7 linked regions of the Ovis aries genome follow. The protein of the gene in region 7 purifies or fractionates together with the protein of the main gene of each other region. This does not show direct contact. Links are inferred from orthologs where the notes say so. Each region holds a gene or a part of one and is shown on either strand. Other genes may lie near its edges.

Evidence for each region.
Region 1: the proteins of PRR3 (region 7) and RPUSD3 purify together in Homo sapiens (co-immunoprecipitation; 3 studies listed by BioGRID and IntAct, with this or other methods). This does not show direct contact. The link is inferred for Ovis aries from reciprocal best matches to the Homo sapiens genes PRR3 and RPUSD3.
Region 2: the proteins of PRR3 (region 7) and DHX37 purify together in Homo sapiens (co-immunoprecipitation; 3 studies listed by BioGRID and IntAct, with this or other methods). This does not show direct contact. The link is inferred for Ovis aries from reciprocal best matches to the Homo sapiens genes PRR3 and DHX37.
Region 3: the proteins of PRR3 (region 7) and METTL17 purify together in Homo sapiens (co-immunoprecipitation; 3 studies listed by BioGRID and IntAct, with this or other methods). This does not show direct contact. The link is inferred for Ovis aries from reciprocal best matches to the Homo sapiens genes PRR3 and METTL17.
Region 4: the proteins of PRR3 (region 7) and DAXX purify together in Homo sapiens (co-immunoprecipitation; 3 studies listed by BioGRID and IntAct, with this or other methods). This does not show direct contact. The link is inferred for Ovis aries from reciprocal best matches to the Homo sapiens genes PRR3 and DAXX.
Region 5: the proteins of PRR3 (region 7) and MRPL20 purify together in Homo sapiens (co-immunoprecipitation; 3 studies listed by BioGRID and IntAct, with this or other methods). This does not show direct contact. The link is inferred for Ovis aries from reciprocal best matches to the Homo sapiens genes PRR3 and MRPL20.
Region 6: the proteins of PRR3 (region 7) and YTHDC2 purify together in Homo sapiens (co-immunoprecipitation; 3 studies listed by BioGRID and IntAct, with this or other methods). This does not show direct contact. The link is inferred for Ovis aries from reciprocal best matches to the Homo sapiens genes PRR3 and YTHDC2.

What each region holds. Positions count from the first base shown.
Region 1 is NC_056072.1:16,849,285-16,853,460, reverse strand, and holds the start of RPUSD3 (mitochondrial mRNA pseudouridine synthase RPUSD3), read right to left. Parts: upstream 2,801-4,176; 5' UTR 2,783-2,800; coding exon 2,682-2,782; intron 2,375-2,681; coding exon 2,235-2,374; intron 1,329-2,234; coding exon 1,284-1,328; intron 1,160-1,283; coding exon 1,060-1,159; intron 256-1,059; coding exon 148-255; intron 68-147; coding exon 1-67. UniProt on the Homo sapiens protein: Catalyzes uridine to pseudouridine isomerization (pseudouridylation) of specific mitochondrial mRNAs (mt-mRNAs), a post-transcriptional modification necessary for their translation.
Region 2 is NC_056070.1:50,903,202-50,906,701, reverse strand, and holds part of DHX37 (probable ATP-dependent RNA helicase DHX37), read right to left. Parts: coding exon 3,334-3,500; intron 1,573-3,333; coding exon 1,461-1,572; intron 1-1,460. UniProt on the Homo sapiens protein: ATP-binding RNA helicase that plays a role in maturation of the small ribosomal subunit in ribosome biogenesis. Required for the release of the U3 snoRNP from pre-ribosomal particles.
Region 3 is NC_056060.1:24,452,300-24,456,284, forward strand, and holds the start of METTL17 (methyltransferase-like protein 17, mitochondrial), read right to left. Parts: upstream 2,801-3,985; 5' UTR 2,770-2,800; coding exon 2,689-2,769; intron 2,545-2,688; coding exon 2,391-2,544; intron 2,305-2,390; coding exon 2,170-2,304; intron 1,493-2,169; coding exon 1,414-1,492; intron 1,160-1,413; coding exon 1,078-1,159; intron 765-1,077; coding exon 691-764; intron 233-690; coding exon 138-232; intron 1-137. UniProt on the Homo sapiens protein: Mitochondrial ribosome (mitoribosome) assembly factor. Binds at the interface of the head and body domains of the mitochondrial small ribosomal subunit (mt-SSU), occluding the mRNA channel and preventing compaction of the head domain towards the body.
Region 4 is NC_056073.1:7,643,072-7,647,134, reverse strand, and holds the start of DAXX (death domain-associated protein 6), read left to right. Parts: upstream 1-1,263; 5' UTR 1,264-1,506; intron 1,507-1,736; exon of another isoform or gene 1,737-2,051; intron 2,052-2,082; exon of another isoform or gene 2,083-2,208; intron 2,209-3,042; exon of another isoform or gene 3,043-3,045; 5' UTR 3,046-3,094; coding exon 3,095-3,301; intron 3,302-3,450; coding exon 3,451-4,063. UniProt on the Homo sapiens protein: Transcription corepressor known to repress transcriptional potential of several sumoylated transcription factors. Down-regulates basal and activated transcription.
Region 5 is NC_056065.1:50,449,560-50,453,679, reverse strand, and holds the start of MRPL20 (large ribosomal subunit protein bL20m), read right to left. Parts: upstream 2,801-4,120; 5' UTR 2,740-2,800; coding exon 2,653-2,739; intron 2,568-2,652; coding exon 2,457-2,567; intron 1,907-2,456; coding exon 1,829-1,906; intron 222-1,828; coding exon 48-221; 3' UTR 1-47.
Region 6 is NC_056060.1:2,411,301-2,414,800, reverse strand, and holds part of YTHDC2 (3'-5' RNA helicase YTHDC2), read right to left. Parts: intron 116-3,500; coding exon 1-115. UniProt on the Homo sapiens protein: 3'-5' RNA helicase that plays a key role in the male and female germline by promoting transition from mitotic to meiotic divisions in stem cells.
Region 7 is NC_056073.1:27,530,346-27,532,904, forward strand, and holds the end of PRR3 (proline-rich protein 3), read right to left. Parts: intron 2,353-2,559; coding exon 2,062-2,352; intron 1,787-2,061; coding exon 1,680-1,786; 3' UTR 501-1,679; downstream 1-500.

The sequences.
Region 1 (4,176 bases), on a different chromosome or scaffold from region 7:
GTGTTCCAGTTTCAGAGCTGCTTGGATCTTCCCTTCAGAAGTAACTGGGATCCCATCAGTGACAGCACTGAGAAAGAGGCAGGAGGACGTCACAGAGTTGCTTGCTGGGACCTCCCCGCTGCCCTGGAGCTTCCCAGCCCTTCTCACCAGTACGTGGCTGTGGGTCTCCTGGCTCTCTGTGAGTGAGCAAAGAACTTCTGGAGGCGGCTTGCTGTCTGGGGACAACTGGAGAGGAGCACAAGCCCCGAGGCCTCCCTGGAGAAAGACAAATCACAGAAGTTAAAATCCCCTGAGATCACCCGCAAAAAGAGGAGACCCTGAGGAAGAAACACGGACCCACTGAAGGCCGAGGAGTAACATCTGGACTACAACACAGACCTCCTCCTGAGAAACAAGTAAGTCTTCCCCGTGTTTGATAATAAGAGTACATAGCTTAAACATGTTTCTCATTTTGCTCTGGCTCCCAGGGAGCTCAGAGCCAAACATCATAACAATTACTACCAACTGCTGACTGTCTACCAATAGGCACTCTACTAGGAATTTCATATATACTAGCTATTAAATGGGCTTCCCTGGTGGCTCAGATGGTAAAGAATCTGCCTGTAATGTCAGAGATCTGGGTTTGATTCCTGGGTTGGGAAGATCCCTTGGAGAAGGGAATGGCTCAATTCCCCATAAACAAGCTTATGAGTTTGTGGAACTGCAGGAACATCTCATCTCAAGCACCATCTCTAACAATGGCTATTAGAGGAAAGAGTATCACAGATCAGTTAACAATGCCGGCTATGAATACTGGACTGGAGAAGTGACTATACACTGAGCACAAATGTTGTGAATTCTGTTTTATGGTTAAAGAAACTAAGGCTCAGTGACACCTAAGATCAGTTTGTACATAAGGATTTGAACCCAGATCTGTCCACTTCCTCCTCTTTTTCTTTGTTTCCTACCTCTGTGATCCCAAAGCAGCCAGTGGAAAATGTCTGTTTATTCCTAAGTGGCTCTGCCCCCATCCCAAATAGATGCTTATCTTCCTACCTTTCTATCACTTCCACCACTTACTTCCCAGATGCTCGGACAACCTGGAGCTCCTGCTCCCCAAGCCCCAGGGACTGGCTCAGTTCTGGCAGCACTGACAACAATGTCAGCTCTCCTGGTTTTCCTAGGTGGAAAAAAAAAAGGAAGAGTAAAAGTTGCTCTCAGAGGCAACATCCCTTCTCTTTGATACTGTCTGCTCTCAGACACATCAAAACCCCTTTCACTGCATCTCTTTTCCCTGCCCATACCTGTCACTGGCAGACCCTGTGGCTTGTTCAGTGTCACCAGAGGTCCTGAAACATGTAATACATAAGCATCAGCAACAGAAAAAGCAATTTACAAAGACTTTCTCAATTCATATTATCATGTGGTCCCAGTACAACTCTCATACCGGAGTTATCAACCACGCCCTGAAATGAACTTCTTTCTGAACCTTGCATATGCTCAGCTTGCTGCCTCAACCTCAGGACCTTTGCACTTGTTGCTTTCCATGTCTCAGATTTTCACGTGGCTTGCTCCTTATATCATCATGGCTCAAATGTGATTGTCACAAAGAGGCCTGGGTCTCCAATCTGATGTCTGTTCCTTTCTTGCAGATCCTTACCACCGCTGTTTTATTAACAGTACTGATCACTAGTAAGTATTTTTTTCATTTATATTATTGTTAATCATTTTCTCCCACTGAAAGGTTGGCTCCCTGAAGGCAGGAACCATATTTATTTTGTTCAGCACCAGACAGCCCTGTTCTAGAGCAGTGCCTGGAAGACAGCCTGTGCTCAATAAATAGCTGAGAAAATTCATAAATCACTTGAGACTGAGGCACAGAGACATTGTTATTTTCCTAAAGCCACACAGCAAGCTGATCACAGAGCTAGATATGACTCCAAAGCCCGTTTTGTCCCCCAATACATTAACACTTTACTGAGAGCCTACTAGTGCAAAGCTCTCTGGTTATTTACACTCTCCCTCCCCACAGCTGCATCCCATGATGCTGAGGCAGAGAGAGTACGTGGCTGGTCCCACGTGGTACGTGGTTAGTACGTGGCTAGCTGGTCCCACGTAGCCGTGAGGTTGCGAGTGGGAGAACCAGGATTTGACCCCACAGGTTTTAGTACTCTACCGAACCAGATCCTCAGAAGGCTCGGGTTAAGACTCCTCCCCTTCCAGGTCTCTCGGCACCTGTCCCTCCCACCCCTCACCTTTACGGTCCACCACAGCCGCCCTTAATACATCGACCAGTTCTTCCCGACTGAAGGTCCCCGGTCTCAGCAGTCCTGGGAAACACTGGTCACCCGGGGGATCCGACGGTTTGCTGGCGCCTCGACGTTGCAGCTGATGCCTGGGAAAGGTTAGGTAAACAGAGGAATCACTGCTTCCGGAAGTGCCGCCCACTCTTATCTCCACACACATCTTCCCAAACCCTGCGGCTTCTTATGAATGCTTCAGGAAGCCTGGATTGAGCTTCCCGAAATCTCAGGTTCTATTGGCCCCAATGTACCGAAAAGAGAACTGAGGCTCAGAGAGGTCTACGACTAGTTTAGGGGCACACAGCAGAGATGAATTAGAACCCATATCTAGATCTCTACCCTCCCCCAGCCCCAGTCTCCTCCCTTCTACACAAAGCGGGGCGGAGGTTGTGTAATCACCGGGCCTTGGTGCCAAAGCCTGCGGCTGTGGGCGTTGCACGGATCCCCAGACCCCGCCGCCAGCCACCCCAGGCCTGACCCAAAACCCGACAGCCACCCATCTGCGGAGCGAAGACAGTGCGCTTGAGTCCGGAAGGACTGCCCCGGGATCTCCCACAGCACGCTGATTGGTCAGATTGACTGTCAATCGGAATAGCTAGGCACCGAGTGGTGAGAAAGAGGAGCTTTGCTTTTAACCGGGAAGGAAATGCAGAAGTTCACGATCTGTGACTTTGAGGAAACCGAAGCACAGAGCCGAGCAGGTATTTACTGCAGGTCAGAGGACCGGTCTTAGGACAAAGCCAGGTTTTCTCCTCATTGCAATTCTTCGGAGTCTTTTGACTTAAAAAAAAATAAAAAACCGCCACTGTGCATAATTTTGTAAGGCAAATTGGAAAAAACAAAATCCGCACTCATTTGTTCAGTGAACCTGCTTCAAAGCATACAGCCTGGTGCGTAATCCAAAAGGGGGGAAAAAAAAGGCCAAAGGCAGAAACAGGTTCACTACAGCATTATTTATAAAGGTAGAAATAAATCTCAAAACTGTAAACAAATTGTCCTGTGATTAGATTCATAAGGACATAAATTCACCCATTCAACATTTTTTGAATGCTAACTCTATGCTATGCCTTGGCATCTGTGAACTGGAAACAGATTAACAAAGAGGCAACTAAGATCCCTCATGCCAGGTTACGCAGCCAAAACAACAACAAAAAAGTTAAGCCAAAATATAAAAGACTATGATTCATTAAAAAAAATAAATAATAAAAATAAGTAGAAGTAAAAGATTTTAAAAGACTGATTTCTGATTTTAGTTACATGACCTTTTGGGAAAGTCAGTGGTTGACAATGACAAGGGCTGGAGTGGGTGAGGGAATGAGAATCTACTAAAAATGGGCATAAGGGAACTTTTTGGTATACAGTGATTATATATCTGTATGAATCTGCCAAAAACTTACTGAACTAAATACCTTAAAAGGGTAGATTTTATTGTATGTAAAGTATACCTCAAGAAACTTAGTTTTTTTAATTCAAAGATTTAAGTAGTCAATTTTTAAAAATAATTTTTAAGTTAGTGTGTTGTATTTTCATTTTTATTCAGTTCAAGAAGTTTTCTTTTTATTTTTTCCTTTGGCACTACCACATGAAGGATCTTAGTTCCCTGAGCGGGGATCAAACACACCCCACTACAGTGGAAGTGTGGACTCTTTTAACCACTGGACTGCTGGAGAAGTTCCTAAACAGTCAATTTTTAAATAAATCTGCACAAATTCAGACAGGACTGGCATGAAATTTGGCAAGGATGCAAGTGATTTTATCATATTTGGGGCTCAGACATGAGTGTGCTGTGTCAAAAAGGCCCCACGGTATTTTAGAACCTCTCTTCTGAAAGATCTCCTGTGCATTCATAATTTGCAGCCTGAATAAAGACGGAGGGACAGGACACAACCTACTT
Region 2 (3,500 bases), on a different chromosome or scaffold from region 7:
AAGGCTCTTTTTGTTCATTCATTCACATTGTCTCTTACTCGAGAGCATGTACTGAGCACTTCATGTGCACCAGGTGCTGTTCCTGGTGACAGAGGTTGATAAAACAAGACAAGGGCTGAACTGGAATATTGGGATTGACATGTAAACACTACCGACACTATGCATAAAAGAGCAAACAAAAAACTACTGTATAGCAGAGGGAATTCTACTCAGCACCCTGTGGTGACCTAAACGGGAAGGAAATCCAAGCAAGAGGGGAGATACATACACATATAGCTGATTCACTTTCCTGTAGAGCAGAAATAAACACAGTACTGTAAAGCAACTATACGCCAATAAAAACAAAATGAAAAAAATAATACGAACGAGACAAGGGCTCTGGCCCCACTGAGCTTTCACTGCAGATGACCAGTGAGTGATACTCAGTCTCACGTGAATAAACAGTCTCACGGGAGAAAATGTGCCCAGACAATGAGGTGATCGGGGAACAGAGAGCGACCAGGCTCAGGGATTGCCTGAGGGTTGCTTAGAAAGAGTGACCAACTCAAAACCAGTGTTCAAATAAATAGCTGTACACAAATGTTCATGGCAGCATTAGTTGTAGCAGCCAAAAGGTGGTAACAACCCAAATGTCCATCAACAGTTGGACAAACTATGGTCCATCCATCCATACAATGGAGTGCGATTCAGCCATAAAAAGGAAGGAAACTCTGACGTGTGTCAGTGTGGACAAACCTTTAAAACACAACCGCTGGTAAGTTCAGCTGTGGATGACCAAAACACAGAAATATGAAACAGCTATCAATTGACAATATTTTCCGAAATAAACTAATTCAAACTGTCAGCTAGGTTCTTTGACAGTGAAAAATAAAAACCCAAACATACTAATGTAATGAAAAGCATGATCCTCTCTTTTATGATGTTATCTTACTGTGAACTGAATTGATAAATGAATTTTAAATTGGCTAAAACAAACAAAAATCCACAATGTTGACTGAAAGAAGTCAGATAAGAAAGAATAAGTATCAAAGGATTCTATTTTTATGAAATGTCCAAAATGTAAATTCCACAGAGATAAAAAGACTCATGGTTGCCAGTGGCTCGAGGGAGGAAGGCTTGGGAGTGACAGCTGATGGGGAGGGGGTTTCTCTGCCTACACCACCCCTCAGGGAGCAGGGGAGAGGCGAGTGACCCTTCCCCTAGAAGACCAAGTGGGCAGAACATCTCTTGAGTCCCAAGGTCACTGACCACGCTCTCCTCAGAAGGCACAGTACTGGGAAGGTAGGGGTCTCACAGGAGACCACCAGGGGGCTGGGTGAGCACCACGTGGCTCAGCTCTCAGGGCCACAGGGAATGGGGAACAGCCCATGAGGGGGCTCAGGCTGCCCAAGAATACCAGCCTGAACTCAGGGACACTGGCAGGTCACTGGAGCGAGGCCAGGGCTGTGGCTACAACTGACCTTTTCGATGTTGAGAGCTTTCATCTGAAGGATCAAATCCTCCACTGGCCTCCGGGTGATTTCAGGAGGCGGGTACTTCTCAAAGTCACCGAAAACTGCAGATGAGTAGAGTCTGAGCAGAAGGAAGCACCAGAGATTAAAAAAAGAAAAGGGAGTAAACAAAGAGACTCAGCCAAACTACCTGGGATTGAATCTTGACTCTACCACCTTACTAGGCAAGGTATTTACCCTCTTCCTGCCTCACTTTCCTTACCTGTGAGATGGGCTAACACAGCAGCTACCCTGTCGAGACTGGGAAAGATACTTTATTTATTTATTTGGCTGCGGCGTGCAACATGTGGGATCCTAGTTCCCTGACCAGGGATCGAACCTGCGGCCCCTGCACTGAGAGTGTGGTGTCTTACCATTGAAGCACCAGGGAAGTCCCCGGTGAAGATACTTTAGGTGTCACACAGAGTGCTTGGAACTGTGCCTGGCACTTTATTTCTTACTACTTTTCTTTGCATAGTTTCTCATTTTTTTTTCTTTTTTGTAATTTAAAGCAAAGTTGAAAAGAACAGTGTAAAGTTAGTTATTGAAGGAAAAAAAAAAAGACCAGCACATAAACTGGGAGAAAATTATCTGCCAATGATACCTCTGACAAGGATCTACCTCTGACAGGATCATCAGGGAATACTTACAACTCACCAATCAAAAGACAGACACGACTGAAAAATAAACGACAGATCTGAATAGACATCCCTCAAGAGGACACGTACAAATGGCCTATAAGCATGTGAAAAGATGCTCAATGTCATTAGAGAAATGCAAACCAAGACCACTGCGATATACCACCTGTACTTTCATTTCCCATGAAGTGGAAAACGGCAAGCATTGGTGAGACGTGGAGAAATTAGAACCTTCACACACTGCAGGTGGGAATATAAAATGGGGTGCCTGCTGCGGAAACAGTCTGGCGTGTTCCTCAAAATATCAGAATCACCACATAACTGTGAGATTCTACTCCCTAGGTATTTACCTGAGAGACATGGAAACAGACATTCAAATACTTGTACATGAGTGTTCACAGCAGCACTATACACAGGGGCCAAAATGTGGACGCAATCCAAGTGTCTTATCAGCCGATGAACAGATGGGGTCCCTCCAGTGTGCAACAGAATGTTGTTCTGCCATTAAAAGTAACGAAGCACTGACACAGGCTATGGATGAGCCTTGAATACATGATGTGGGGTGAAAGACGTCACATACAAAAGGTGACATACCGTCTGATTTCCTTTACAGAAAATGCCCCGAATGATCAGATCCATACAGACAGGAAGTAGATAGTGGTTGCCAGATCCTGGGGGGTGGGGATGGTAGGGAGGTGTGGGGAGAAACTGATTACTGGGTATTGGGTTTCTTTTGCAGTGATGAGAATATTTGAAAATGAACAGTAGTGGGACTTCTCTGGTGATCCAGTGCCTAAGACTCCACACTCCCAATACAGGGGGCCCAGGTTCATTCTCTGGTCAGGGAACTACATCCGACACGCCACAACTAAGACCCGGGACAGCAAAATAAATAAATAAAATACATTTTTTTAAGAAGAAAATTAATAGTGGTGATGGTTGTACAACTCTGAACATATTAAAATCTACAGAATTGCACATTTCAAAATGGTGAGCTTTATGCTATGGGAATCTGATGCCAATAAAGCTATTAATAAAATAAAAACAAAGGTGCTAATCAACACAGGGCCTGCTATCAGTAGCAGAATAACGAACGATGCAAGTGCCGACCTCCAGCGGGACATGGGGCCCCCTTTCCCCGGACGAGGGTGGGTGACCACTGCACAGTAGCCCTGAGGACACTGAGGGGCCCCAGGGAGCCCCACCTGTAGCAGTGGCCGGGCTCTGTCCGGCCCGCGCGGCCAGCCCGCTGGTCAGCTGAGGCCTGGGAGACCCAGGTGACGCGGAAGGAGGACACGCCGGTGACACGGTCGTAGTGCCGCTTCTTGACCTTCCCACAGTCCACCACGTACTTGATGCCCGGGATGGTCAG
Region 3 (3,985 bases), on a different chromosome or scaffold from region 7:
ACAGGGTCATCGCATCAGACCCATCTTTAACTTTCCGGCCTCTCCTCTACTCCCCAGTAAAAGACCCTTTCTGGTACTCCTTTGCTTTGCAAATGCCTTCAACTTTGGAAAAGCCCTTCCTTACATTTTGTCCTCACCTTTCAGCAGCTTTTCTGCCAATTCCAACATGGCAGCTGAGCTGTCCACGCACATATACTCACGTAGGCTCTGACCCCAAGTACTATGAGCAGCCCTAAAGTGGCAAAAAATAAATCTTCAGTTCTTACGACAAAGTTATTCCTACAAGAGACCCCTCTGTCCCTAACCCAACCTTGAGGAAACAGAGCGCTATGTTAAAATAGTTGGAAAAACTAGCAATCTTATTTTCTTGTTTCATCTACAACTGTTAAGAAGACTCAAAAACTATATGAACACACACACAAAAATCTTGCTGACATGTAAATCCCTGTCCGAGATCAAATTCCTTTCCTTTTTTATCCTTCTAAATGTGGGTTTTTTCACTTGACATTTCTTTAAGTTCTGACCCTAATTTATATACCTTCTCATGCCTTGTCTAATCTGAGGGAAGAAACACATCAGTTCCAATTTTCTCTTCTTCCTTTGGTTCTCCAGTGTCTTGATATTGACGTGGCATAAGCTAGCTCTAACTCTCTAGAGTTGGAACTGACAGAGACAGAGAAAGATACTCACCAGGTGACAGAGCCAGTACCCGAGCCAAAGTCCATCAAGGTTTGTGGCTGGAAGTCTGGAAGGCGAGCTTGGATCTGAAGAAATATTCAATACCCCACAGTGGGGAAGACAGACACTTATTTAGGGTCTTGGTAAACATGAATTAGGGGACCGCAACAGAGGAAATGAGCTGTGAATGTCAAGATTCAGTGTAAATGCCTTATAGAATAGAAAGGTCTTAGAACAGTGATTCTAAACCTTTTTTTGGGTCAAAAATTCCTTTCAGAGGATAAAGACAACCTCTCGAAAAAAATGCACATGTAATGTCCCAAGAATCTTGCCCCAGATTACTTTATGAAAAAGGGAACTGATAGTAAAGTTTCTGGTTGGAAGTTGAGGGAATTTCACCTCATGGAAAGCTCTGGAAACTGCTGCAAAGCCACCATCCAGTCTTGCTGCCATATACACCAGGCTCAGTCCCTCATTGTAGCTGCCAGAAAAATCAGACATACCACTGGGAATTAATCTCTATCCTGCAGCTACCCTCCAGACTTTTAGGAAATGAAATCTTTGCAAAGGGCTCTTCCAGCTCAACCCTTTCACTGATCAACACAGACAAGTCTTAGGGAGGCTTATAAACCAGATTGCCTTTTCACACACTAAATGGTGTAATTGTATTTCCCCAACTCTCCTTCTCAAAAGCCAAACTTTTCCTTCTTCTGCAGCCCTTCTAGTCTCCCTTACCTCAATTCTTGCCAATGATAGGTAGTTCTGCGCAAGGCACGCAGGACTTCTTCATGATGTTTCTCTGTCTGACATGAGTCTGGGGTAAGAACAAGCACTGGAAGTAAGGACCTAGGAAGAACAGGGCTCAGATACAATATCTGAATTTACTGCCTGCCATTCCCTACCAATTCCCACATGGAAAATGCTTAAGAGAGAAGCCAAACTAGAGAAGAGTTTCAGGTAAGAATAATAATGACCACCACCACCATAGTATATCAGATAATATATTGCCTCTAACAGCAATTCATTCAATTCAACCAACTCTATCTCACAGGTTTTGTTCTGTATTAAAAGCAAGTGTAATAAAAAGTTAAAGGATAGGATAGACAGTACTTTGTAGATTTCTTCACTTCCCCCCAATTTAATAATGTGATGTCTCCAAAGTTCCTATAGGAAGGAAAGGGGCTTGAAAAACTTGTCTTACAATTGTGTTCACTTCAGTACTATTTTACCTACGGAGTGCCTACTACAAACCAGGTACTACAAGAAGTCAGGGAATAACTCATTGATCTTTACTAAAGCCCTGAATTTAATAGGCAATCTCTGAAATTACTTTTCTTCTTTTAGAAAGGCAACATTATGAATAACTACTCTGATTAGAAAGTCAAATAAGAAATCGCAGTATCTATTTAAGAGGCTGCAGAATTATTACTAGCTCTTCATTTCCCTCTGCTCTTTCTATTTGGCTTACTCTTTATTTTTGAAAAGACCTACCTGCGTTTTCCAGGATTTTTTTCTCAAGAAGAACAGCCCGTCTTTGTAGCTCCTCTGGCTCTACAGGTAAATGCCGGCTCCAGAGATAATTGGTTAGGGCTTGCACCTGTTTCTCCATATTGGGCATCGAGCTCTCTATGGACCAAAGATGCAAAGAGGAATCACTTGTACGCAGGGTCCAATCTTCGCTTCTTGAGCTTCCATTTCCCATCTTTACTCACCTAGCAGCAGTAACTGCGCGGCTTCAGCCAATCCTTGCGGCAGCCGCACGCATGACAGCTGCAGGATGCCAGGGTGCCGGCGATGGGGCCTCTTCCCCAGGAAATCGGACTTGTTATCCACGTGGGATACGCCGGGCACGAGGGCAGCAAGCGCCTGCAGAAAAAGGAAAGCTAATAGGGGGCACAGAGGATGGCTGCGGGAGGCTAAAGGAGGAGCTGCCGAAAGCGCACCTCCTCGGAGAGGAGCTGTTCTTGAGGTCCAAAGCTTCTTTTGAAAGCAGGGAAAATAGGTACTCACTCGGAACTGGGGCGCTATTCCAAAGCTGCGGCGCCATCTGCCTATTGTCAGCAGATACCGCGACCCTCTAACGGTCGCCATGGCGCCAGCGGTGAACCGGAACCGGAAATTTAGGTGCAGTGTCTGTCACTCTCACTAGCTGCAGCGAACATCCTGCGCGAACATTGGCGCCGGGCAGTAACAGCCAATGCGGAGAGCGAGTGCTTGCTAGTAGCCAATAAACAATCGATCTGTAAATCGCCTTGGAGGCCGTTTGTGCACCTCAATTCCAGCGTAGCTAGCCGGAAGCTAGGTGACTTCCACCCTGCGTTGTGATTTGTCTCCGCCTCCAGAAATTGGAGGGGCGGGGTTAGGTAGGTATGGGCTGACCCTATGCTGGGTTCGCCAGAAACGCGTCACAGGACGGCGAAGGATTTGTGTTTGTATTAACTACCAGTGTTCTTTCTTTCACCTTCTGGAGAACACTGAAGTCTTAGAGTTTTTACCTCCTGTGTGAAATGGAGTAAAGTATAGTCGCTCAGTCGTGTCCGACTCTTTGCGACCCCATGGACTGTAGCCTACCAGGCTCCTCCCTCCATGGGATTCTCCAGGCAAGAGTACTGGAGTGGGTTGCCATTTCCTTCTCCAGGAGAGACTGCAGTAATGGGAAGATGATCAAGGGAAGCCAGATTTAGGCGACCAAATTGATGGAATAATAGATAATAGATTTAATGTTTCTTACTTGTTAGTTTCTCTTAATATTAAACCAGTACTTTTAAGCCAGGTAAATAGCTACCATGAGAACCTTATGTGACAGGTAGTGTGGCAAGCGCTGTTATATGGTACTACCTTATTTAGTCCCCATACTTCTAAAGGATAGATTTTGCACCCAAGGAAAGTGAAAGTTCAGGTGGCTAAATATTCCGCTTGAGATCCAAGAGCTTGTTAGGTGAGAACAAGTTCTAAACCTTGGCAATCTAAGTCTGATCTTCACCTTTAAACATATGCTCTGCTGGTAGTATTGGTACATAGAATGCAAGTTAGCAAGTGCCAATTTGTCAAGTGCTGATGACAAATTGGTACTTTCTATCTGGGGGCTTCCCTGGTAGCTCAGTTGGTAAAGAATCTGCCTGCAATGCAGGAGACCTGGGCTCGATTCCTGGGTTGGGAAGATACCTTGGAGAAGGGAATGGCAACCCACTCCAGTATTCTTGCCTGGAGAATCCCATGGACAGAGAAGCCTGGGAGGCTACTGTCCATGGGGTTGCAAGAGTCAGACACGACTTAGCAACTAAACCACCACCGCCATCTACATCTA
Region 4 (4,063 bases), about 20 Mb from region 7:
AAGCACAGAGTCTTAACCACTGGATGACCAGGGAAGTCCCCTATCACGCTTTCTTACACATACATATCATAATTGAGATGAAAAATATTATTCTTTCTTGTGACCATAAAACTCTAGGTTTTTAGAAATATTTCTTCTGGGTTATCATTACAATTATTATGAGAGCAGAAGTGATAAAATAGCATAAAGATTGTACACATTTTCATAACTTAAAAGTACATGTAAAATGAGATAGACGAGATGGTGTTTATGATGCCTTAAAAGAAATAGGCTACATGTCATTTTTTTAAATTAGAGGATAATTACATTGCAATATTGTTACATTTCTATTTAAGACAAGGTAAGGGAAATCCCTGATGGTCCATCAGTTAGGACTTGGTGCTTTCATTGCTTGCGCTGGGGGCCAGTTCCATCCCTGGTTGGGAAACTAAGATCCCTGCAAGATTCAGGGCGTGGCCCAAAACAAACAAAAAACAACCAAGGTAAAACAAGGTAAAGTTATCCCTAGATTTCATGGTTAAGAACTATACCTTTTTTCTTTTTTTCCTTTTTAAATAGAGAGGGAGAAAGTCTATTGTAAAAGAGAAAAGGAAGGAGAAGCTCTAGTGCAAGCATTTATTCAGGAAAACAAATTTTGGGAAAACTGAGACTCTGGAAATTAATCCTTTATATGTCCCAAATCCAAGTATCCTTAGGCGAGTCTCCGTGTTCCCCAATTTAAGACTACAGGCTTAGACGACTGGAGAGAAGTGGTGTAGGATTCTTTAATGGGAGTGAGGGTTTGAGGGTTTGGAACTCCTGAGGGCTTGGGGATGTAAGAGACTGTGGTCCTAGAAAGTGGCAAGATGCTCACCCTCTGTGGAATTCTCCAGGATGCGGGAAACTGAGAGATTGGAACCATGTTAACCTTTCCGGTTTCCTCAGAAGTTCACCTCTGGGCCCAGCTTTGCCTCTTCGAGCCCCTCCAGTTTCCGTAAAGTTGGTTTAGGGTGAGGGTGTGGGCGAGGCGGGCGCCAATGTTGGTTTCTTCTCTCTTCCTTCGTCAGCTCTCCCAGAGGAAGAGGAGGAGACGAGACTCAAGGTATTTTACGAGCCTCGAGCCTCGTTTCTTCTCACAGCTCTTACAGATTCTGCTCAGAGCCCCCTCCCCACATTGCCTGTCCTCAGGCCCTAGAGGTCCTGGACAAAGCACAGCCTCCTTGTCATCAGCGCCTGCGCCTCGGGAACCCCCTCCAGAAAACGGCGGAGAACCAACTAGGTCCCACCTACTTGGTTGGTCATTACTTCTGTGGTGGAGCTTGGAAAGCACGCCAACAATCGCAATAATAAGAACACATTTGTATAGCGTGTTGTGCTCGTTTGTATGCGTGTGTTACGACTTCATGATTGGGAGATGTAGGCACCTGGATGTAGAAGTAGCTTCTGGGCAGCTGCAAGGGAGCGCGCAGACCACAGAAAGAAATGACAGGTACAGTCGACTGAGCCGCGGAAACCGGGACCTGGCAGGTAGGAAAGTAGCGCCACAAGGCTTGTCAAAAGCCCAGCGGCTAGGAAAGGTTTCATTTCCCTTTTAAGACACTCCTGCCTTTCCGTGCCTCCCTGTTCAGCCTTGGAGGGCCCAATTCCTCACCCCGCGCTGTTCCGTTATTTCCTCCCCCGACCCGGCCCCCCGCCCCCCCACGTAGAAAGGTGGATCAGTCCTCCCCGCACGCGACTAGCGGTGGTTGGGCCGGGATGCGGGAAGTTTCTGATTGGCGGAGTCGCGGAAGCACCGGGTGAAAAGAGCTCCACTGACGGCGGGCCCCGCTCCCGGCGCAGCCAGAGCCGTACGCCAAGATGGCGGCCCCCAGGTATTCAGGACGCCCGGAGGCGACAAATCCGCCCCCTGCAGGTCAGGGTGAAAGGAGCCGCAGACGAGGTGGGCGGCAGGGGAGGCTCTAGGAGGGGCGGCCCTCCCTCCCTGCCTGCCTGCCTGCCTGCCGGCGGCACAGGATTCCGTGCGACAATATGGCCGCGCCCAGAGCGTGTGGGCGGAAGCTCCGCGGCTTCCGGTAAGAAGTGGGGCCTGCGGTGGGAGGGGGAAGGAAGACGGAGGGAACCATGCGAGGTTCTGAGATCCGCGGAGAGGGTCGCCTCGAGAGACCGTTTCTGAGGTGGGGGCCGGACGGTGTGGGGAGCGAAGGCGGGGGCAGGACTGTCGAGGGAGAGGTACTGGGGAGTCCCCGGCGCGGAGTCTGAGGGGCAGGCTGTGGGATCCTCCTTCCTATCCCTGAAGGGGAGTGGGGCGGCCAGGGGCTGAACTGGGGGAGGGGGACTTGGCGGGAAGCTCATTTAGGGGAAGGACTGGACTCAGGGCTGGGATCTGAGAGAAATCGGGAGAGCCCAGCGTGGAGCTCACGATTGGTTACAGGTCACTGAGAGAGAATGGGGGAAATTAGGGTGGGGTGAGAAGGAGGGGACTTGGGGTGAAATATCTTCAACCTAGCGCTTCGGTTTGAGGAGACCCATCAGAGGGTGGAATATAGAGATAATTTAAGTAGGAGAAAAGGGAATGGATTGTTGGGAGGGAACCTCCTTCTCAAGGGGTCTCCGAGTTGGGGTTATCTTTCAGAATGGGGTGAGAGTATAGATTTGATATGTGTGAGAGAGAGCGAACAGGGAAAACGGTGGTGCCAGCGGGGCTGTGGTGTCTGTTCGAGAGAATGTCAAGGAAATCTGTAGTGCAGCGAGAGAGGTCGTCCAGGGGTTGAGAGGAAGACTCAACTTGGCAACTCTGAGAAATAGTGGGGAAAACGAGACTGAAAGACCGGATACATGCGTGGGGGGTGGAGCTGGAGGTGGGACTTCAGGTTTTCAGAAGGTTTGGAACTCCCCTAGTAAAGGGCCGGAAAAACGTACAGTACTAATGCTTGCTGAAGCTAGGAAATGAGGACACTGTTGGGCATGGCTGGGTGCTTTTGAAACCCAAGACTGGAAAACGTGTGAGATGAAGGGATGGGGCGGTGCTGGAGGGGCTCTGTCTGAGGCCCCATCCCCTTCCAGCAGGAATTACGAAATCCCCAACACTTCCTCCCTCCGGGGGATTTGATCCCCTATGGCTACCGCTAACAGCATCATCGTGCTGGATGATGATGATGAAGATGAAGCAGCTGCTCAGCCAGGGCCCTCCCACCCACCCCCTAATCCGGCCTCACCCAGGGCAGAAGCCCCTGGCTCCTCTCAGCCCCATGGGGCTGGAGGAAGCAGTAGTTCGGGCGGCAAGAAATGCTACAAGTTGGAGAATGAGAAGCTGTTTGAAGAGGTGAGCTTTAGGGGAGAAGACTGTCGTGCCCCAGGGAGGGGGATGGCTGCTTGGCTCTGTCCTTTCTCCCCCACTAACCCCACCTCACCTTTCTCTCAACCCTATCCTTTTGTCTTTTTCTCCTCCCTTTTCCCCCGTGAACCTTCCAGTTCCTTGCACTGTGTAAGACGCAGACGGCGGACCACCCTGAGGTGGTCCCGTTCCTCTATAACCGGCAGCAGCGGGCCCACCCTCTGTTTTTGGCCTCGGCGGAGTTCTGCAACATCCTGTCTCGGGTCCTCTCTCGGGCCCAGAACCGGCCAGCTAAGCTCTATGTCTACATTAACGAGCTCTGCACGGTTCTCAAGGCCCACTCAGCCAAGAAGAAGCTGAACCTGGCCCCTGCTGCCACCACCTCTAGTGAACCCTCTGGGAATAACCCTCCCACAGACCCCTCCTCGGACCCAAATGCTGAGACCACTGGCTCTGAGGCCCCAAGGACCCGTGGTTCCCGGCGGCAGATCCAGCGCTTGGAGCAGCTGCTGGCACTGTATGTGGCAGAGATCCGGCGGCTGCAAGAAAAGGAGTTGGATCTCTCAGAATTGGATGACCCAGACTCCACTTACCTGCAGGAAGCAAGGTTGAAGCGTAAGCTGATCCGTCTCTTTGGGCGGCTGTGTGAGCTGAAAGACTGCTCTTCACTGACAGGCCGGGTCATAGAGCAGCGCATCCCCTACCGTGGTACCCGTTACCCAGAGGTCAACAGGCGCATTGAGCGGCTCA
Region 5 (4,120 bases), on a different chromosome or scaffold from region 7:
ATCATCACAGGAGGATGCTCAAAGGGCCGTTGCTATCAGCGTCCCCCTCAGTGGTGCTGTGCCACCCTGGAAAAAATTCCTTCAGGCTCCTTCCCATCCCCCAAGGCAGCAACAAATCCTTCTTCTCGCCTTCTTTTGGACAAAGCAGCCAGAGATTTAAAAGTCTTTGGTTCATAGATGGCTAGATCTGCAAGTACTTTCCTGTTGAGCTCCACCTGGCACTGGGAAGAAAATCTTTGTTAAATATTTTAGCATTTCAGTGAAACATAAAATGACTCTGAATGCAGCTGATCACCCTGTGATTTCAGTCACCAATACATACTGCTTGAGCACTAGTGGGGGAGAGGGCATTGTGAGTCTTGTCCAAGTAGGACACGTGAATAGAAGGGAAGGGCGCAGCTCCCAATGCCAGATTCCTGGCCTAAGTTATCCCTTTAAGACAGGTGGGAAGAGGAAACCACAATTTCCATTGTATAAATGGTGAAAAATGACACATGGAAAAGGAATGTGAGGCACAGAAGCACAAGGACCAAAACTGGGCATTCTGGGCTTCCCAGGTGGCTCAGTGGTGTGAAGAATCTGCCTGCCAATGCAAAAGACATGGGTTCAATCCCTAATCTGGGGAGGTCCCACATGCAGTGGAGCAACTAAGCCTGTTGTTGGCCTAGTGCCCCTGCCCTACAAAAGAAGCCACTGCAATGAGAAGCCCACGTGCCACAACTAGAGACTAGACCCTGTTCACCATGACTAGAGAGGGCCTACATGCAGCAACAAAGACCAAGCACAGCCAGAAATAAACAAAACTGGGCATTCCTAATTTCCGTAAGAGAGCCCAAGTCATCTGTCGAGTAAGAGAATAGAAAACCAATGGACAGTGCCTGTGAGTCTGAGGTGCAGGGAAAAAAAGGGGGTGGTCTTATGACATTAAATGCAGCTGTGCAGGAGTGACTCCTACTACCTAGGACCCCTGTGCAAAATCCCTCTCCTTTCTAAGCCAGTTTCCCATGAGTAAAATGGAAGTGTCACACCTACACTTGCCCTGAGGATCTCTGTAAAGTGCCAGGCCCACCTGGCACAGGAAGAAGCACAGCACCAACTCACCTACTCCCCAAGCTTTTTAAGAAAAAATTTAACTCATAAGAAAGCAGAGGGAGTAGGGACAGACTTCCTGGTGGTCCAGTGGTTAAGTCTCTGCACTTCCACTGCAGGGGGTTCAGGTTTCCTCCCTGGTTAGGGTTAGGAATTGAACCCTGGTTGGGGGGAAGTTCCATATGTCATAGGGTGCAGCCAAAAAAGCAGAGGAAATGGCATACTGTCTAGATGCCAGGGAGTGAGATGCTCTGACACTTGCTTACTCTAACATTCCAAATGTTTTGCTACATTTAATTATGTTTCAACTTGATCTGCCACCTTGTCATAATTTATTCAACATGAAAAATTTGAAATTAAACTTCAAAGTTAAAGCAAAGTTTTTCTGTTTTTCATTCTTGATGGGGAAACAACATGATTGTGTCTTGGTACCACACACCCTATTACTAATTCTGCTACCAGCAGGGCAATGAAAGAGCAAGTGAGGTGAACCCCAGAACCCACCAGAACCCCACCCCAAGAGTGAAAGCAGTGGGCCCCAATGCCAACTCTTAAGTCCTCTGTAATCTTGGATTTCTCTAATATTAATAAAGACACCGCCGCCCCCCCCCCCCCCCAAAAAAAGAATGAAAACAGTGTTAGGCTGCTAATACTCCACGGTGGAGCCTGCTAGAGCATGAAAACTGGACGGGTTATAAAGACGTTCAATGTCTCAGCAGGACCACATCCTCGACCATACCTTAATCAAATTGAGGATGAATGCTGGGTATTTCAGACCATGTTCCTGGGAGGCAGCTGTAATTCGATTAATCCAGAGCTGAAATGAGAAAACGTCGAAATGTTTGAGAACCAGCTGTATGTCACGTCCACACCTCCCAGCAAAGGTTCTGACTGAACTAAAAAAATTTTTTGTAAAAGCAGATACAAAAGTCAGTGGCCTATGCAGGCTGCACTGCAAACAACAGTGAGCAAAGCCTGGTACCCTTCGTCCAAATGCCAGGTGTAAAGCTCACATCTCGCACAGTCGAGCTGGAATACAAAAATCAGCGAGAGATGCTGGGGCAGACACCACTCCGGGTGTAGAAAAAATCCCTGTGTGGGAATTAGGACAGCCACTGAGACGGGTGCTACCAGGCAGGGACGGAGCGCTCCAGGGTGGAAGCTTCAGGAGGTGAGCAGCCTGGAGGGGAGAAAGCGGGGGCCCCGCGAAGGGCCGGGGTTACGTGGACAGTGGCGTCCGCTCCAGGGGGGAAAGCTGCGTCGGGAAAGCTGCGAGGGCGGGAGGGTTCGCCGGGTCGGGGCCACCCACGGCTGCAGGGCGCCGCGGGCTCAGGAGGGCAGGGTGAGGCCGAGAGGGCCGCGCTTACCGTCCGCAGGTTCCTTTTCTTCAGACTGCGGGCTCGCGTGCATCGCACGAACGCTCGCGTCACAGCCCTGACGGCCAGCCGGTAGCACCGATTCTTCCTCCCTTGGAAGTGCTGGTTAAGAAACGAGAGAGGATGCGGTCGGCGGGGCCCGCGCATGCCGGGCCGGCCAGGGGAGCGGAGCGCGCGGCACACTCACCCGCGCGTGCTTCAGCACCTCCTGAACCCTCCAGTAGCGGTCGGTGATGCGGTTCCGCAGCCAGAGCGGCGCACTGAGGAAGACCATGACGCCGGCACCGCCGTTTACCAAGGCGTGTGTTGCTCGGCCGCCACACCCCTCGAAAGCTTCCGGGTCAACTCAGCCCTCCTCAAGAGAACTTCCGGCCGTCGCGCGTGCGCTTCGGGCCCGCAGCGACAACCCGCCTCTGTACGCATGCTCAGGCTAGGGGGCGGGGTGGTGGGCCCTCCCGCGACCGGGCCTAGGCGGGGGTCCAGCAGAAGGGTGGCAGAGAGTGGTTCCTTCTGCGGACCCGAGCAACGCTGCTTTTCACAGCGGGGCAGAGTCTCCATTGGGCCACTGAGCTGAGCACTTTCAAATGATTGGAATGACAGGTTTTATCCCGTGTGTATTTTGTCACTGTTTTACCACAGGCCAATGCAGGAGACGTCGGTTTGTTCCCTGGATAGAAAAGATCCCCTGAAGAAGGAAATGCAACCCACACCAGTATTCTTGCCTGGGAAATCCCGTGGACAGAGGAGCCTGGCGGGCTACAGTCCATGAGGGTCACAGAGTTGGACCCGACTTAGCGACTGAACAACAACCACTATATTACCATTATTACGGAAAATAATGAAGAGGCAAAGTGGGCGTGTGCAATTTCTTAGTAACTTTTCATTTAATTGTAGTTTTCAGTTCGGTTCAGTCGCTCAGTTGTGTCCGACTGTTTGTGACACCATGGACTGCAGCATGCCAGGCTTCCCTGTCCATCACCAACTCCTGGAGCTTGCTCAAATTCATGTCCATCCAGTAGGCGATGCCATCCAACCATCTCTTCCTCTCTCGTCCACTTCTCCTGCCTTCAATCTTTCCCAGAATCAGGGTCTTTTCCAATGAGTCAGTTCTTCAATCAGGTGGCCAAAGTATTGGAGTTTCAGCTTCAGCATCATCAGCCCTTCCAATGAATATTCAGGACTGATTTCCTTTAGGATGGACTGGTTGGATCTCCTTGCAGTCCAAGGAACTCTCAGGAGCCTTCTCCAACACCACAGTTCAAAAGCATCAATTCTTCAGTGCTCAACTTTCTTTATGGTCCAACTCTCACATCCATACATGACTACTGGAAAAACCATATCTTTAACTAGATGGACCTTTTTCAGCAAAATAATGTCTCTGCCTTTTAATGTGCTGTCTAGGTTGGTCATAGCTTTTCTTCCAAGGTGCAAATGTCTTTTAATTTCAAGGCTGCTGTCAGCATCTGCAGTGATTTTGGAACCCAAGAAAATGAACTATGTCACAGTTTCCATTTTTCCCCATCTATTTGCCATGAAGTAATGGGGTCAAGGCTATGGTTTTTCCAGTGGTCATATATGGATGTGAGAGTTGGACTGTGAAGAAAGCTGAGTGCTGAAGAATTAATGCTTTTGAACTGCGGTGTTGCAGAAGACTC
Region 6 (3,500 bases), on a different chromosome or scaffold from region 7:
TTTCACAGAAGATTGATCTGACCGGTCCTCAGTGCTTCGTTTAGGATGCAAAATTCCTCTATCTTTGTACTTCTGAGGCTGGTGTAGTGTTGGAGCTGGAGATTTCATCAGTACTCTTGAGTGAAAAGGAGGAAGCAAAGATCAGTTACACATAAGATCCAAGCAGACTCCATTTCAAACCAAAGTTCAATGATTCTGTGATTTATGGAATAGTATTTTAAAAGGCAATTTCATTCTTCTATTACATTTAGAAGAAAGGGTTGTACTATTAGGGTATACTTACAAAGATAGCATTTTTTAAAAAATACAAAAATATATTAAAAACAACCTATAAAAATTTTTAATTTAGATACCAAAGTATTATTTCCCTTACAAAACTCCTAACCTCTTTTATGACAGTCTATAAGAAATCCTAAACAATTATAATGTCATATATTGATGCCTAATGTCTTTTAACATTTTAAAATTATTTAAATACATCTATGCTAATGGCCGTTACTAGAAAACCACCTACTCCACCTCTCTTCCATTTGCATATATCTTAAAACCAAACAGATTTCAAAAGCATACTAAAAATTACAGCATGGCAAAATGGAAATAATACTGGACTAGAGTCAGGAGAGAAGATTTTCAGACAGAACTAAATTTACAACTAATGAGGTAGGTGATCCTGGGCAAGTCTTTTAATTTATCTGAGGTTTAATATCCTTTAGCTGTTAAATAAAGGGATTAAACTAGATAAATGCTAAGATTCTTCTGTTTTAAAATTCTATGAATAAATGCAGCAAAAATGGCAGTCAAGAATTTTATAATTTTTTTAAAAGCGTACATCTCAGTGGAAAACCAGACATTAAAAAACAAAGAAGACATTAAGTAATTCCTAAAGCAGTATAATATAAAGTTCACAGCATTACCTATAAATATTCTTGCCAAAAGAAAAAAAAATGTTCTTGCCAAAATACTGGATCTAATCAAGCTTTGAGAGCTAACCACATCCATGAAATACGCAGGGTATAGCAATAAAAAGAGACATATCCAGAATGTGGTACATGTCATAATACCACTGACCTAGTTTCCTAAGAAAAGTCAACAAAGGAACTAACTGCTCTAGATCACAAGAGATTCAAGAAACAAGACACCCTAATACAGTGCATGAGTGAGTCCTCCCTGAATGCTGTTTCAAATAAATATAGTTTGAGAATTGGGGAAATGATTATTTTATTGGGACTGATTATTGGATTTTGATTGTATAGGAAAAATGCCTTTATTTTTTAAGAGATTCAAATCTAAATACAGAGGAGTAAAATGACATGATGTGAGAGACTGATTTTGAAATATGTGAACAAAAAAAGGAAGGAAGCAAGAAAAAAATAATTGGGTAGATACAGCAAATAGGTGAAAATCGTCAGAGGATAAGATGGCTGGATGGCATCACCAATGCAATGGACATGAACTTGGGCAAACTTCAGGAGATGGTGGGGGACAGAGAGGCATGGAATATTGCAGTCCACAGGGTCACAAAGAGTTGGACACAAATGGGAGACTAAACAACAATCATTTGCTTTGCTGTGTTTACATATAATACATAAACAAAACATAAAAAGAATAAGTCATAAACATTTCATAAACTTCCACTGAGCCTTGCAATTATAATTACTCTGCCTTCAAAATAAGTTAAAATAGCTTATCCCCACATTCTGCTTCTGTTTCAATAAATATCTTGGATTCAATATTTCTTTCACAAATGAAATAAAATAGCTAAAGCCTAAAAATGCTAACAAAAATATATAATGAATAAACATGTGAATAATTATTAAGAACTTGATAAATATAAAAAAACAACTTTTCAGGGCTTTTGTCTTTAGGAATTGAAGTTCAATGAATTATCAAGTTATACCTCTAAAATTCCATCATTCTTACGCTAGCAGATTATTTACCTGAAAACTAGGTAACAGAACTTAATTAAGGGTAATATCTTATTAAAATAAAAATGATGCTTCCAATAGAACTAAATGCCCATTTTTGCAGTTTCCAATTTGATCTTTGATTCTGTGCTCTATTCTAGCTTTTCTCTCTTCTTCCCCAAATTTTGGCTCCCCCTCAAATTTCATGCATGTAGAAACAAAGCATTTGTATAAACCTTTCCATCTACAATTTCATTCAAAACAAACAAAGAATTCTGATAACTCAGTTATATCTCATTTTTCTTATAGAAAAGATGTTTATTCTTTGTAAGCAAATTATTATGTAAAAAATGACAATTTAAAAACATTGGTTTAATTTTAACATGGGATATGGGCATTTTTCCATGTTTTAATAGTTTCTTAAACTTTTAAAAATAACTAATAAAATGTTTTTATTAAAAGAAATTAACTGATCTATATTTTGCCATCCTAGTATGAAAACTCTAACTATAAATACTATGAATACCTTTTCTTCAAGAAGCAATTCCAGAAAGATTATAAAGAAAGATTATTCACCATTCAAAAATACATCTTCAGAAGAGTCCTTAATCTATTCCTCACCAAGCTATATCAGTTTCAGGCCTTGTCTATTAAAACTACAAAGTCTAAAAGTATATGAAATTCTTTATCTCACTGTTCAACAGATAAGAGAATAAAGAAAGCAAAGCTACAACCTATAAGGAAAGGAAAATGGCAGATACTGGTATCATAGGAGGAAAAATGAATTTATAAGATAATCAGTTTCTAAAGCATAACTATTCTTATACTTTATTATAATTATGATTTTCTCCTGTATTTCTAATTTTTATTAAACAAGTATATATTACTTTTATAAAGAAAATAGGAAAATTTTCCTCATAAATGCATGTGTATAGTATGTATATATACGTATATAAACACATGTGTGTATAAACAGTCCCTCTGAATATATATATATATATATTTTTTTTTACAGAGGAGTCTATAAATAAGTCTACCACATAATTTCTATGCAAACGTATTCATGTATTCGAAATCACTCTTATTCAAGGAAATTTTTCAAAAAATCTTTTTAAAAAGAGGAGTATCTAAGTAGAAAATGTATTTTTTACTATTTTATTTTTTGCTTGGCAGTATCTACATAAGAGAAAATGGTTTAGGGACACACATTATTATAAGCAATTGGCTGAATTATTCCTAAAATGTTGTATATGAAAAACTTGGAATCCAGCATGTATTATTGCTTTTTACTGAAATCTTAACTGATAACATGCCTTTAAGCTTCATTCAAATAAGTAAAATCAGATCAAAAGATGGTAGGTACTAAATATTCCATCTGAACCTTGAAAAACAATAAGCATTACATATCTTTTATGCCTCCATTATCTCTAGTTTCAATTTTTAACAATGAAATAATATTCTTAGCACAAAGATAATATCCACTATATTGTTCAAACTAGTATTCCAGGCAAGAACGTTGTCTCTGTTATCCATTCTATCAAGGTAAAAAAAAAATTTTTAACTGATATAAAGAAATACAAATTGGGTTCTAACAAA
Region 7 (2,559 bases):
CTTCTGCTTGTCCTCAAAGCTTGTCTCAGCTGTCACCTCCCCAGAATCGTTATTACGTATTCCCCCATGTCTCGCTTCTTCACAGCACTTTAGACAGGTACATTACACATATTTGTGACTTGACGAACATGTCTCCTCTTGTAGATTTTAAGTTCATTGATTTTGGCTCTCTGTTATTGCTATAGTGTCTTGTATGCTGCCTGGCCCACAGGCACTCTACCAGTATTTGCTCAAAGACTGCTTTGCCACCTCCACTCTATAACCATAAACACAGGTAAAATGTTTAAAAATGACTCCATGGACAGGTCGTTCCTTTCTCCAACAAAACTTAGCCCTTGAATATAATGCAGCTGGTCCGGTTGATCTCCACAGGGTAAGGGGCCCCGCTGGTTTCTTCAGACTGGGAAAAACATGTCAACATTCTAAGTGAAGCATACACTGACTCCCAGCCTCCTCTGCACTTCAAGAGATGGCCGCAACACAGGGATTAAAGAAAATGCTTGTTTCCACTGCATTTATTACTAATATAAAAAAATGTAAAAAAAAAAATTCATTCTCAGTTCTCCAACAGCTCTCATCCCTCCCTCTTGCCCACACAACTCCTGACCCATTTCCTCAGGGCCAGTTCAAAACTGAACCTGTTCACTGCCGTTTTCACAGAAAACAACCAGTGCCAGGGATGCAGGGGAAGAAGGCTGGAAGAGGGCGACAGTACTGTCCGAGTTCCACCCACTGGCCAGGTGGAGATTCACAGAATTCAAATGAAACGGCTGGTGGCCTCACGATGATGCAGTCTAAGATGGGCTGGAGAGAGGAGAGGCCCATCTGAGCCTTCAGATGACATCTCTCGGGCCTGTGTCAATCCCGAGGAACCGACATGGGGAGGATGAGACGACCAGGGAGGCGGTCTTGTGGAGTTTCACAGTTCTTCCTCGTCGGGGGGTGGGGAAAGTCTAGGCGGCACCAACGGCCCCACACATTTTGGCAGAAAAACTTACTCTAGTGTTGGGAGGTCACGAAAATGCCACGGACACTGAGAAAGGCTATGGGGGTGAGGGGCAGGGGGATGCAGAGTTTCACAAAGCACAGTGAGCACAGACCACAGCGGTGGGGATCATGCTACTGACGCAGGAACTACCAGATCCAAGAGCGGGGAGTGTGGCCTCTCGGGAAGTGACTCTGCACCAGTCATCCACACTTGACCCCAGGTCAGCCAACCGGACGGGCGTCACAGGGCCGCCGACCACGCTGGGGCAGGGGTGTCACACGAAAAGGACTTAAAAACAAGCAGCGAGGAGGGGATGGTAGGAAACTGCTCCAGGGCTCTCAGGAATCCAGGGCGATACCGGGGGCTGGGTGGACAGATGCACAAGAAACAGCACCAAAGAGGTTTCCTGTTCCGCAGTCAGCCGGCGAGGGGGAGGAGGACCCAGGAGGCAGCTGAATGGAGCAGGGACGGTCCTGGAGATGTCTCTGGAGGCTGGATCAGAAGAGTGCACACCGCACACCAGTCATGGAACACAACTCTGGGCCCCCAGTGGGAGGGGGCGGTGAGGGGGGTGGGCGTCACTGACTGGGGGTGGCGCGAGGAACAGCCTCACGGTGGCCAGCACAGGGCCGCAGGGGAGAACGTGGCCGCCAGGCCGGGGGCCCCTTCCAGTCTGGGTGGGGAGGCGGCCTCACAGCGGGGGCCCGTTGACGCCCGGGTGGTAGAAGGCACAGAGGTCCTCGTATCGACAGTGGCCCTTTTTGGCGAAGTGTCGGCAGACGGGGCGGTCAGATTTGTCTGTGAACAAGCAAAAATCGGGCAGTTTAAAATGTAAGAACAAACAAATCTAACAAAAAGCAGAGAGAGAGAAGGTCAGATTTCCTACTTGCTACCATTTCCAGGTATTATGGAATGACAGACTTTCTCGAGGGAGAAAAAACATTCAGGGCTACTCCTACTCCAAAAGGACAAAGGACAACCCAAAGCACAAGAGCCATGGGTATTCTAGGCATGAGGTCGCTCTGGGAGTGATGGGTATTAAATGTGTGCAGGCATAAAAAAATGGACCTCACCTTCCATAACCTGGGGTCCATCCTTGGGTGGGCAGGTATTCTTGATAAGAGACCAGCTTTTGAGCCTTCGAGGATTTCTCTGTTCTTTGTGAAAGCCTCCCCTGGAAGGACCCCCGTGGCCTGGTCCAGGGAAAGGAGGCTCGGCATTGACCCCCCACCAACCACGACCATATGGGCCAGACCTGGGGCCTAGGCCTCCCCGAATTGGGCCTCTGCCCCGGGGAGGAGGTGGGAGACTCAGCAGTGGTGGGATCATTGGTCCCCTTGATCCCGGAGGACCTCTGTGAAAAGCTGAAGAGACAGACAGAGACAGAGAGAGACACGGGAAGATCATCAATGGCCAGCTTAATACAGATAATGCAACCCTGATTTTGTTTTAAAAACATTTTATTGAAGTACAATATATACACCAGAAATACACAATTTTAAGTCCTTAACTCAACTATTACCAAGGTAAGCACACCTGTGTTCCCACTAAGATAGGCTAGAGAAGGGACA